2 linked regions of the Callithrix jacchus genome follow. The protein of the gene in region 1 interacts with the protein of each later gene in a biochemical or structural test. Links are inferred from orthologs where the notes say so. Each region holds a gene or a part of one and is shown on either strand. Other genes may lie near its edges.

Region 1 (5,673 bases):
CTCACCGCAACCTCTGCCTTCCGGGTTCAAGCAATTCTCCTGCCTCAGCCTCCCAAGTAGCTGGGACTACAGGCACGCACCACCATGCCCAGCTAATTTTTGTATTTTTAGTAAAGACAGGGTTTCACCATGTTGACCAGGATGGTCTCGATCTCCTGACCTCGTGATACACCCGCCTTGGCCTCCCAAAGTGCCCGGCCTGGAAGGGGCGGTTCTAATAGAGCCATCACCCAGACTGGAGCACCCTCACCTATGTCACATGGGGCAGTGAGACTGCAGGGGCTGTTGAAACAAGAGCTTCATCTCAAATTATACGTTTCAGTTTTCACTTTTAATCGTGGATGCACTCAATCTGCTCACTACCGTATGACCATTTTTGCCATTCATTTACCTTGTAACCAGGCCGGGCACGGTGGCTCACGCCTGTAATCCCAGCACTGTGGGAGGATCACTTGAGGTCAAGAGTTCAAGACCAGCCTGGTCAACACAGTGAAACCCCATCTCTACTAAAAATACAAAAAATTAACCAGGCGTGGTGGCAAGCACCTGTAATCCCTGCTACTCAGGAGGCTGAGGCAGAGGTTTCGCCATGAGCCAAGATTTCACCATTCCACTCCAGTCTGGGTGACAAGCGCAGAACTCCAGTTCAAAAAAAAAAGTATCTTATAACCTTGAGCAAGAGCTCTCTCAAAACTAATGAGCTCTTCCTCATCACGCGTCCCTGAGTGCTGGATGAGCTTAGTGGTTCTTTGTTCACGTACAACAATGCAGTGTCACACTTTGCAAACCTGCTCCTTGACACCTTTGTACTTCTGATCAGAACTTAGAAAAGGAATGAGGAGGCAGCCGAGGGAGAAGTAAGGAAGGGCCACCCCAAGCACTGTCCTCTGACTCCCCATATGCCTGAGACCCAGGAGAGGTACCCAGGTGGAGCCCACAGTGGATTGGGCTTGCCTTCAGCCCCAGCCTAGTCCTCTCAGAAGAGCCATACCTGGCCAGGCCCTGTGACTCACAGCTGTAGTCCCAACACTTTGGGAGACCAAGGCGGGCAATCACCTGAGGTCAAGAGTTTGAGACTAGCTTAGTCAGCATGGCAAAACCCTGTCTCTACTAAAAATACAAAAATTAGCCAGGCATGGTGGCGCCTGCCTGTAATCCCAGCTACTCAGAAAGGTGAGGCAGGAGAATTGCTTGAACCTGGGAGGCAGAGGTTGCAGTGATCCAGCCTGCGCAACAGAATGAATGAGATTCCATGTCAAAAAAAATTAAAAGAGCCATACCTGCATCAGTCACAAACCTTACCACCTAGGACTCTGACCATTAAGCCCTTAGTGCAAGAAGCAGACTAGAGGAGAAGGTAACTGAGGATGCTTTCTCCTTTCCCTGTCTCCACCCCATGCTGTCACAAGGACACTACAACACAGCAGCCCAGGCCACAATGATGGCTTATGACTCCAGGCCTTCAGCTCTCATTAGACAACCTCACTGAGCATCCAAACTTGTTGTGTGACTTGGAGCAAGTGTTTTCCTTTCTCTGACTGTCAGCATTTCATGTAGCAAATGACAGCTTTTGAAACAAGTGCCCAGGGTCCTTAGGGTTTTCCAAGCTGATTGTGTCATTTCACTTTCTTCACTTGTGGCCAGCTTGGTATTGGGCAACTTTGTTTCATTGAAATCAGTAGGGTTCCCCTTTGCTCTCCTCTGCTCTGACGGTGCCAGCTCCAGCACTGTGGGTAGAGGACAAGGGGTCCTCTCTCTGAAGGGCCTTGTGGTTGGTTTCTTCCTCTTCCTGCTGCGGGTGGGGGTGGCGTGCTCAGGCAGCACCTGGAGCAGCTCCCACTCCCAGGCTCCTTCCGTGCCCGATGCCTCACTCGATGCACTTGGGGGCACCCAATCCTAGAATCTGTTGCTCCAGGAAAATAGCCCATTTTCCATTCATTTAGAAGAGAGTGATCGGGCACTTCTGGGCCACAGTAGCCAGTCCCTGCCCTCCTCATGGGACCTATGTGCTGTGGTGGCCAGGGAACCACAGCAAGTAAGCAGAAGATACATGTGGGCCCTGTGTTCCCAGCCCCCCAGAGCGCATAGATCCCACAAGGAGGGCCTGGAGAGCAAGCCTGCCGGGGCAGGCTGAGGAGCACCCACACAAAAGGAAGAGCAAATGCCTGAAGCCCTGAGTTGGGAACTAGCTTGGCGTGACCTAGAAACTGCAAGCAGGCAAGTGGCTGGCAGACCCACAGCCAGGGAAGCGGGACACCCTGGGGCAGGCTGTACCCACGTGGCCTTCATCTGTCCCTTCCTCCTCCTGGCCAGCTTACGCAACACTTGCGCACACACCCAGCTTCCTTCCTGGGGGCCCTGATGACGGCTCAGAGTTACCAAGTGGGCCACTTCCCACCTTCTCAGGACTCCCACCCCTACCAGGGAGTGAGGGGAAGAGACTGGGACTGAGAGTCTACGGGTTCCTCACCTGTCTGGGCCTCAGATTCCCCACCTGGATCACAAGGGCCATGGGCTTGCTGGGCGTTCAGCGGCCCCCACCCCTCCCTTTCCTCGGAACATTTCTGGGCTGACTTCTCCGTTGGTCCGATAAGATTCTTGCTGTGTCATGATGATGTTGGCACTCTCCCAAAGACCCGGTGACTCATGAGCCCCTGGGTTTAGGAGGGAGGCCCTTTCGTTGGTTTTTCAACTGAGCTAACTCAGCAGCCCCCAGGTTCTCGGGCTCCACCCAGGGAGTCTGGGCAGGTCCTTGACCCTAGCGACCCTTGGGGATGGGGTGGCCTACCCCTGCTGGCTCTCCAGCAGGCATCGCCCTCTACCATGAAACCCTCACGCCAAGACGAGCTGTAGCGATTTGGGTTTATAAAACAGGTCGTGGCCTAGGTCCCTTTGCCCTGGCCGAGCCAGACATTGGTGGCTGGAGATCTTAATCGTGTCCTGCTTCTACTAAGTCACCCTGTGTCCTCAAGAAGGTCCCTCCCCTGCTGTGGTCCTCAGGAAAGAGGAGGGCGTGGGGAAAATGAGAAGCTCCCAGCTGCTTCTCACTAAGGATCCCTTGAATTGCCCCCACCCACATGGCAGGAGTAGACTCTTGACTAAGCTGTCAGGTTTTCCCATGTCTTCCTGTACTTGTCCCTCCAGAAAGTCCCACTAGAGCGCTGCAGCCAGCTGGGAGGGCAGGGCTAGCCCTGAGCCCTGAGGAGAGCAGCTCAGTCTGGCTCTGCTCGGCTCAGCTCAGCTTAGCTCCTCGTCACCATGGGAAAGAGCTGCCTGGCCTTCCCCCACCCACGCCATCCTCTGTCTTACCTCGACTCACTTCTCTCAGGTGACTCGGATCCCAGCAGACAGTCGGTTGCAGGGGCTGAGCTGGAACAAGGCGAACAGGTTCAATCTCCAGTTAATCCCAAAGGGAGCAGCAGGAACAAACAGCCTGGAGCGTGGGGCCGCTGTGACTCAGCAGACCAGTCCCCTGCCAACAGTACCTTCCTGTAGTCTGTCCCAATGCCTCCTGATCTACCAGAATTTGGTCATGAGCAAACATGACCTGCTTTGAGTGAGGCTTAGAGGTATTTGCAGGCTGTGGTTATTACCGTTTCATTCAGGGACAAGTTAGTTCCCAGCGAGCTGGCCCTTTCTGTGTGCGGGGACAACCCTGAGTTGATGTGCCATGGCCAGTGTTCCCCTCCCCAGTCTGATGGCAGGGTGCTGTGAGGAGCAGAGTGGAGGAACTCCTACCCCAGGGTGAGGGGTCGTCTGAGGTGGACTTGGAAGGATGCAGAAGCAAGAGGTCCTTGTGGCTTCAGGGAGCAGCAAGTTGGATGCTAGGAGGGCTGCACTGGGCTTCATGTCGGGTAGTGATGGGTGAGAAGGTCTCATGGGTGGTCCAAGACCAGCTGGTGGCAGGGCTGGAACTTTATTTTCAAGACGGTCACTGCAGCATCTGGGGGGCAAAGAGACCATTTATAAAACTTTCATGTGGCAGTTACAGGAGAGCCCCACTCCAGAGTGCTCAAGAGATAAATGGCAGGTGGCTAGGAGCCCCCCGATACCAACACAGGCAACCCTGGTTTGGGAACAGCCCACTGTGGGGATGCTGAGGTCCCAGTGCAGCCTGGAGATGACCCACAGACACTTGTAACTGGGCCGGGAAGAAACTCAGGAGCAGTCTGCCTGCAGCTCCCACCTGAAGCCCTGCACCGAGCTCACCCAAGGAGGGGCAGAAGCAGAGCACACAAGGGATGCACACCATAGCAATTTCCCACCTGGAAGCCCCCGGTGGCTTCCTAACTGCCTGTTTCATGGGGGCATGTGTCCTGGTGGCATGGCCTCCATTCTATAATGGTTCATAGAAACGGACCCATCCATGATTGCAGTGTCTGATCGCTTTGAAGAGCATGTCTTTTGTTTTCATCTGTGTGTGTGAGATGGAGTCTCGCTCTGTCACCCAGGCTGGAGTGCAATGGCGTGGTCTTGGCTCACCACAACCTCTGCCTCCCAGGTTCAAGTGATTCTCCTGCCTCAGCCTCCCGAGTAGCTGGGACTACAGGCATGCACCACCATGCCCAGCTTATTTTTTGTATTTTTAGTAGAAACAGCGTTTTACCAGGTTGGCCAGGATTGTTTTGATCTCTTGACGTCGTGATCCACCTGCCCTGGTCTTCCAAAGTGCTGGGATTACAGGCGTGAGCTACAATGCCTAGACTGTCTATTACTTTTTATCATGTTTTACTGAAATATATGTCACGCCCAGGTGCAGTGGCTCACACCTATAATCCCAGCCCTTTGGGAGGCCAAGGCAGGCAGATCACCTGAAGTCAGGAGTTTGAGACCAGCCTGGCTAACCCATCTGGGGGAAACCCATCTCTACTAAAAATACAATAATTACTCAGGCTCTGTATCAGATGCCTGGAGTCCCAGCTACTCAGGAGGCTAAGGCAGGAGAATTGCTTGAACCCAGGAGGTGGGAGATTACAGTGAGCTAAGATTGCACCAGTGCACTCCAGCCTGGGTAACAGAGCGAGACTCCCTCTCAAAAGAAGTCTATGTCATGAAGAACACAAAATCAGCAGAGCCGCAGAAGCTGCTCCTAGATCAAGAAACAGAATATGCTCTGCACCCAGGGAGGCTGCTCACAGTTGCTGGCCCCCAAAGGGTCATTTCTGACCCACTCCCCAGCCTCCACTCCATTGCTGGTTTTCTCGCTGTCTTTTTGTTGGTGCACATAGCAGTACATAAATCTTACCTTTACAATTGGCTATGCTCCTCATCACAATAAAGGCCATTATCATCTACCCAGAAAGTTCCTGGGTGCCCATTTCCAGCCAGTCTGCCTCCTGCTCCAGGCAACCTCTGGTCTGATTTCTGTCACAATGGGTTGGTTTTGCCTATTCTGGAACTCCATGAGAGGGAGCTTGCAGAGGATTGCACCTCTGATACTGAGATTTCCCAGTGTTTCTGAGTAGTATCGTTGTTTGAATGCATAGTTTGCAGGTTCACATGTTAACTCCAGTGTTGGACTTGTTTCCAGTTTGGGGCTGCTGTGAGCTAAGGCTGTTGTGGCCATTCGTGTCCAAGTCTTTGTGTGGACATTCACTTTCATTTCTCTTGGGTGCTACCTAGGAGTAGAATGGTAGATAGGTGTGTGTTTCTCTTGATCAGAGGCTTCCAGAC
Region 2 (5,847 bases), on another chromosome or scaffold:
GACATTCTCTGGACTTGTTTCTCTTGGCATGACATACAGGATGTTGTGTAACACCTTGTTTTTCTTTAGCACTACATGCCTCCTCTCTGCTATGCATTTTATGTGGATTGTCCTGTGTAATTTTCACAATAGCCCAGATAATAAATGAGAAAACTAAGTCTCAGAGGAGAGCACCTGCTAACAAATGTCAGTGCAGTCTGATTTCTGAGCCTATGTCCTTAGGAACTTCCTGTACTATAAGTGAGATCTTTCCCAGCTATATATAATATGAATTCAGCATATTCTTCTCGGCCAAAATGATTTCCTGAAGTGGAAGTTAGGGTCCTGGAACAGTTTAAATCAAGGGGATGACAGGATGACAACAGAGAGCTCTCCAACCACAGGCCGAGCAGCAAACTTCCACTCCTAGCCTGAAACTGGCATTTCCTATAACCTTGCAATAGCCTCCCTCCCACACATACACTGTGCCCAGGCTGCCTGCAAAGCTTTGCTGGAGGTTGGGTGTCAGGTGTGAGAAGCTGCTGGCCGCTCCCTGCTCCCCTACAATGATCTACCTTCACCTCTGCCAGAGGATGGAACCACTCAGAACAGGAGGCCCATGGCAGCTCAAAGAAATTGATCAGAATAACTCATTTGTAAAAATCTGTTTAATAAATATACATAATAAAAGTACCAAAATAATTACCAACAATACACTATGTACACCATTTACAGGAGGGTAACACAAACCTTGACAGGTAGCAACTTTTAACCCCACACCACTGAAGGTTTAACACTCCTGGCTGTTACATGTCACAGGATACCACTGGGGTTAGTCACTCAAAGCACAATAAATATAAAATGTGGTCCTTCCATGAAATTTTTGATAACATTATCCAAACTCCCACAAAGGTAAAGCTTAAAAGAAGTTTTCTTGGAATTTCAATGATCTTTCTTGTCCCCTACAAAAAGTTCACGAAAGTAACAAAACGAGGGCTGATCCCACCACAGTAAAATGTTTTGGGCCAGGCAGTGTGCAGTATGGATATAAGTACACCCTTTAAATTTTTTTTTTTTTTTTTTTTTTTTAAGAAAAATAAAACTCTCTTTTTGTACAAATATACAAGTCCACGTTCTTTCAGACCCTTTGTGCTCATAATGTCAGACGCTGGCCTGCAAACACACAGTCATCATAGGGGAGCTGAAAACAAAGGGAAAAAAAGAACGTTAAACTTCTGGAGCTCTGCCAAGCTATTGGGATGGGGAAGCTGCTACTGGAAATAACACTTGGACTCCATTCTCCGTAGCCCAAATATAGTGAACTTTACAGGTTGAGGGAGTTTGCCTTTAATGCTTCTCTTTTAAAAAAAACAGTGCGCTATTAAAAAAAAAAAAAGGCACATTCTTGGGATACTGGTTATACACAGAAATTTGAGAGATTCATTACATGGACATTCCTCTAATGAAGAGCAGCTCTAGGGGACTGGGAGGGTGAAGGGAAAGCCCCCCCGCCATTAATTTCACAGAATACTGAAGCAGTTCAGACTCACCTCATCCTCCGTGAATTCTGACTCTGTGTCATAGCTCTCCTCATCCTCACTCTCTGGCAGCATCTGAAGGTTTTCTAGTGTCAGCTGGCCCAGCTGCTGCTGTATCCGGGTGCTTGGGCGACCCCAGGTAAGCTGGTAAGGGGAGTAGCCCTGGTAGGTAACTCTGTTGACATCAGCCCCACACTTCAGCAGGAGCGACACCAAGTCAGGATTCTGCAGGTCCACTGCGAGGTGAAGGGCAGTCCGGCCATTACAGGGCTCCTGAAACCAAAAGGAATTTGAGATGCCTATGGCTGCGTTTGGAATTTCTGCTTGCAACACAAGCACGAGGAGCTTGACTCAGAACATGGGAGGCAGGAAGCACTCACCTGAGCATTGACATCAGCACCCAAGGATACCAAAAGCTCCACGATGCCCAGGTAGCCATGGATAGAAGCTAAGTGCAGACACGTGTGGCCTGGAAGAACAAAAGGAAAAAAGCATAACCATTTGTTTCAACCCTCCTAAAGCAGCACCTTTCACCTATTCTTTTATGGGACAAACAGTCATGTCTTCTGAATTTTAAGAACCCCAGTCTGGGTTCTGAAGGGACTTTTAAAATGTATCCAATAGGCATATTGCACACATCTTTTCTCGATCTTTCACAGGTTGGGAGTTTAAGCTCTTTCCTGGACTCCCTAAGTTGGCCCACGTGCCCTTTCTGCATGTCACCTGCCCTCTGAGGGGGTGGGGCAGGGCAGGAAGGCAGACATACCATTGTAGTTGGTAGCTTTCAGGATGGAGTGGAGGTGTGGGGTGGTGCAGGCCTGAGTCAGGACTCCCACGCTGGCCAGGCAGCCCTGCTCACAGGCAAGGTGTAGGGGGGTATTTCCTCGAAAGTCTCGGAGCTCAGGATCACAGCCAGCTCCCAGAAGTGCCTCAGCAATTTCTGGCTGGTTGGTGATCACAGCCAAGTGTAGTGGAGTCTACCAGTGCAAGAGAAACCAGAGAGAGTAAGCCATGAATCAAACCCACACCCCGAGTTCCCCGGATCCCCAATGTCTCCTGGTTGGGTGCTGCTCCTCCCAGGTGGGAGGGTGGGGAGGGCTGGCAAATAGCAGAGGCTCCAGGTGGGTCATAAAGACCTCACCAAATCCATAGAATTTCCTTCCCTCTCTAGGATGGGGGCTGATGCGAAGTAAACGGCAGGGGTGAATAATGCCCAGTGGCCCTTAATTCAGAAAGGATCTGGGGTGACTCTGCTACATCAGCTCTGTCCCAGGGTCAAAGAAAGCCCGGGCCAGGCACGTGCGCACCTGCTGCAGGTTGTTCTGGAAGTTGAGGAAGGCCACGTCTCCCTTCACCTGGCGGATTACTTCCATGGTAAGTGCCTTTTCTTCATGGATGATGGCCAAGTGCAGGAACCTGTGGGGAAGAGGGAAAAACCCCCAGGGGTGGTGAGTGCACCGCGTGGGGCCCAGGGAGGCGCGGGCTGCGGGGGATTGCGCAAGGCCGGGGTTTCTGGAGGCCGAGGCCGCGGTGTTTTCCGCGAGGTTATTATGAGCTGAGTGTTCCTGGCAGGCGCCCAGGGACTTTCCGCCCCCCTCCTTCAGGCCTCGGCGGGCGCCGGCCAGACCGCCCCGCCCTCCCGCCGGCTCGGAACGCCCTGTACTTCCCCTCCCGGCTGCAAGGCGCCCGCCAGCGGCCAGAAACTCCCGCCCCGCCTTATGCAACCGGGGACTTCGCGTCCCCACCGCCGCCCCGCCCCCGGCCTAGAGGACGGATGGGGGGGAGGGGGCGTGTGGCGACGCTGCGGTCCACCAGAGCCGAGCCTCTGCCCCTCCTAGTCCAGCCGGAGTCCCGCGCGGCCCTGCGGCCCTGCAGCGTTCGGCGCCGTGCAGGAGCCCCGGGGCGCCGCGGTGCTGGCCCGGCTGCAGCGCTGGTCCCCGGGCTCGGGCTGCAGGCCCAGCACCCCCCAAGCCCCGCCTGCGCGCGTCCGGTCCTCCCAACGACCCCTGGCCCGCGCCACTTACGAGTCCCCGTCCTCGGTGAGCTGCTGCTTCCAGGGCTCGGCGCCGTGCTGCGCCTCCTGCGGCTCTAGGCGGATCTCCCGCAGCTCCTTGACCATCTGCTCGTACTCCTCGTCCTTCATAGAGTCCAGGCCGCTGTCGTGGCGGTCGTCCAGCAGCCGCTCCTTCTTCAGCCCATCGCGGAGGCCCTCCATGGCCCACTCGGCTGCCTGGAACATTGCTCGGGCGAGCTGTGGGTGCTGCTGCGGGTGCGCTGGGCCGCGGGCTGCGCGCTGCTTCCTCGCTGGAGCGCTGGCGAACGGTACGGCGGCGCGGGCTGCTGTGGGCTCTGCAGCGCCGCCCCAACGCCCTTATAAACGCTGGCTGGGGATTTCTCTGGGGCGGGGTCAGGCGCGGGGAATTTCCAAGCCAGTCAGACCAGAAAAGAGAACTGGCTTCGTCCTCTGCTAGGGGGAAAAAGAAGCCTAAACCCTGAGCTGGGGTTCATCGGAGAAACTCCCTGCGATGAGGCACTGGGGTCACGGACAGGGAACTTTTTGATGAGCGCCGAGTGGCTGGAAAGTCCTTCCTACCAGGCCCCCTGCCCCCGGTACTTCCCTGCAGCCTGCACCCTGTAATCCTGTCCCTCTGCAAGTTAACCATTTTTCCCTGGGGTTTCCCACGATCGCTTTGAATTGGGGTCGTCGGCTGCTGAGATCCCAAGGACGCCGACCTGATGGGCAGTCCTTCTTTGGGGTTTGCCAACCTGCCGGTCTTTTCCGTTTTTTGATCTTTTGAAAACGCAAGAGTGGAAATGATGGCTGGGTGTAGGGATTTGCTTTCCGCAGACTTCTCTCTAAGGGGAAGGACGCACTGTGATTAGAAGGCTGCAGGCCGCCGACGTGTTTCTACCAATACCAGGCTCTTTGCAGCACCGGGACGCTTAGCTTCTCCACCCCCACCCCCACCCCCACCCCCACCCCCACCCCCACCCCCACCCCCACCCCCACCCCCACCCCCGCACACCCCGCCAGATAGAAGTTGTGAAAGCTTTGGAGTGAAAACCTAAATCCTTGGAGAACTCTCAAATAAGTTCCTATGGAAGAAGAGCTCTGTTGACTGGGGGAGGGGTGAACTCTCCCTGTACGGGGGAAACTGCTAAATAGGACCAGGATTTTCTTCCCCCTAAGTAAAGCTAGGTGCTAATCTTTGTAGTAGTGGTTGTGGATACTTTGCAATAACAAAATAACTATTGTGTTCCTAAGTAGCGATTTTGTTCATGCTCTCTGACCTACATTGTGCTGCTGCAGAGAATGGATCCTGAGCCTACTTCTGGGTGCAAACTGAGCAATTCTCCAGGAACACTTGGAGAAGGAGACTGAAGAATGAGTTTAGTTAGTACCTTAAACCGCGCTTGGACCGTAAGGACCACTAAGAAACTAGTTGCCAGGCATCCTGCGGGAGGCTGAAGGCAGTCTGGTCCTGCCCGCCCCTCCTTGCTCCATTGTCCGGGGGGACGGTAGCAGTTGGACTCATTCATGCCACCCAGGTAGAAAGGGGTTTGGGCTCACTGTGCTCTGGTTTTACCTGCAGAAATAGAATTTTTGCTCTCCACCCCATCTCCACCTCCAAGTCTACAAGTCATGGACTGAATTCTACTTGATAGAGTTGGTATAGGCAAAAGAAAGCAAACTTCAATCAGAGCTCTTCAGGATTAGTCCCGGGAGGCCTCTATAGTTCTGCAGAGATTTCTGGTGATTATTGCAGTCATCTTTACCTTGACTGGCCATGTACTAACCAATCCTTCCCCTCTCTTCAAATCTCCACCTTTCCCCCAATATTAGAATATAAGAAATCTGACTCAACAGAGATAGACCAAGTGTGAAGGAAAAAAAATTAAAATCAGATAGAACCTCCAGGGTAGTAATGATCACATGTTACAATGAAAACTTCCCAGGGATAGACACCATTGTCTCTGTAGGCTTATGATATGCAAATACACAATGATTGCGGCAAGATGAAACGTGACTGCAGTCGGAGCATCTCAATTCTGGGTTCTGTCTTTACTGAACTGCACATTAGTTGGAGAGATCAGTTAACATTTTTGTGGTATACTTACTTTTTTTTTTTTTTTTGGTATACTTACTTTTATAATAAGATTGCTTCTTAAGGTCTTTTCTAGCTTTAAAGTCGTATTACTTGTCTACAAATGCATGCCTGACTCTGCTTCTGTAAGGGTGACTATGGCTTTTGGAAATGCCATAAATTTTTGAAAGAACTCCAGCACTTTATGCATCACATTGTTAGTTCTCAGAAGTAATCCTGTAAGA

What was found. The genes of interacting proteins can lie anywhere in the genome.
Region 2: of the proteins of IKBKG (region 1) and NFKBIA, one has a biochemical effect on the other in vitro, tested with the Homo sapiens proteins (15 studies listed by BioGRID and IntAct). The link is inferred for Callithrix jacchus from reciprocal best matches to the Homo sapiens genes IKBKG and NFKBIA.

What each region holds. Positions count from the first base shown.
Region 1 is NC_133524.1:150,332,821-150,338,493, reverse strand, and holds the start of IKBKG (NF-kappa-B essential modulator), read right to left. Parts: upstream 3,409-5,673; 5' UTR 3,310-3,408; intron 1-3,309. UniProt on the Homo sapiens protein: Regulatory subunit of the IKK core complex which phosphorylates inhibitors of NF-kappa-B thus leading to the dissociation of the inhibitor/NF-kappa-B complex and ultimately the degradation of the inhibitor.
Region 2 is NC_133509.1:69,915,303-69,921,149, forward strand, and holds NFKBIA (NF-kappa-B inhibitor alpha), read right to left. Parts: upstream 3,866-5,847; 5' UTR 3,757-3,865; coding exon 3,542-3,756; intron 2,934-3,541; coding exon 2,825-2,933; intron 2,495-2,824; coding exon 2,284-2,494; intron 1,987-2,283; coding exon 1,898-1,986; intron 1,791-1,897; coding exon 1,530-1,790; intron 1,181-1,529; coding exon 1,133-1,180; 3' UTR 630-1,132; downstream 1-629. UniProt on the Homo sapiens protein: Inhibits the activity of dimeric NF-kappa-B/REL complexes by trapping REL (RELA/p65 and NFKB1/p50) dimers in the cytoplasm by masking their nuclear localization signals.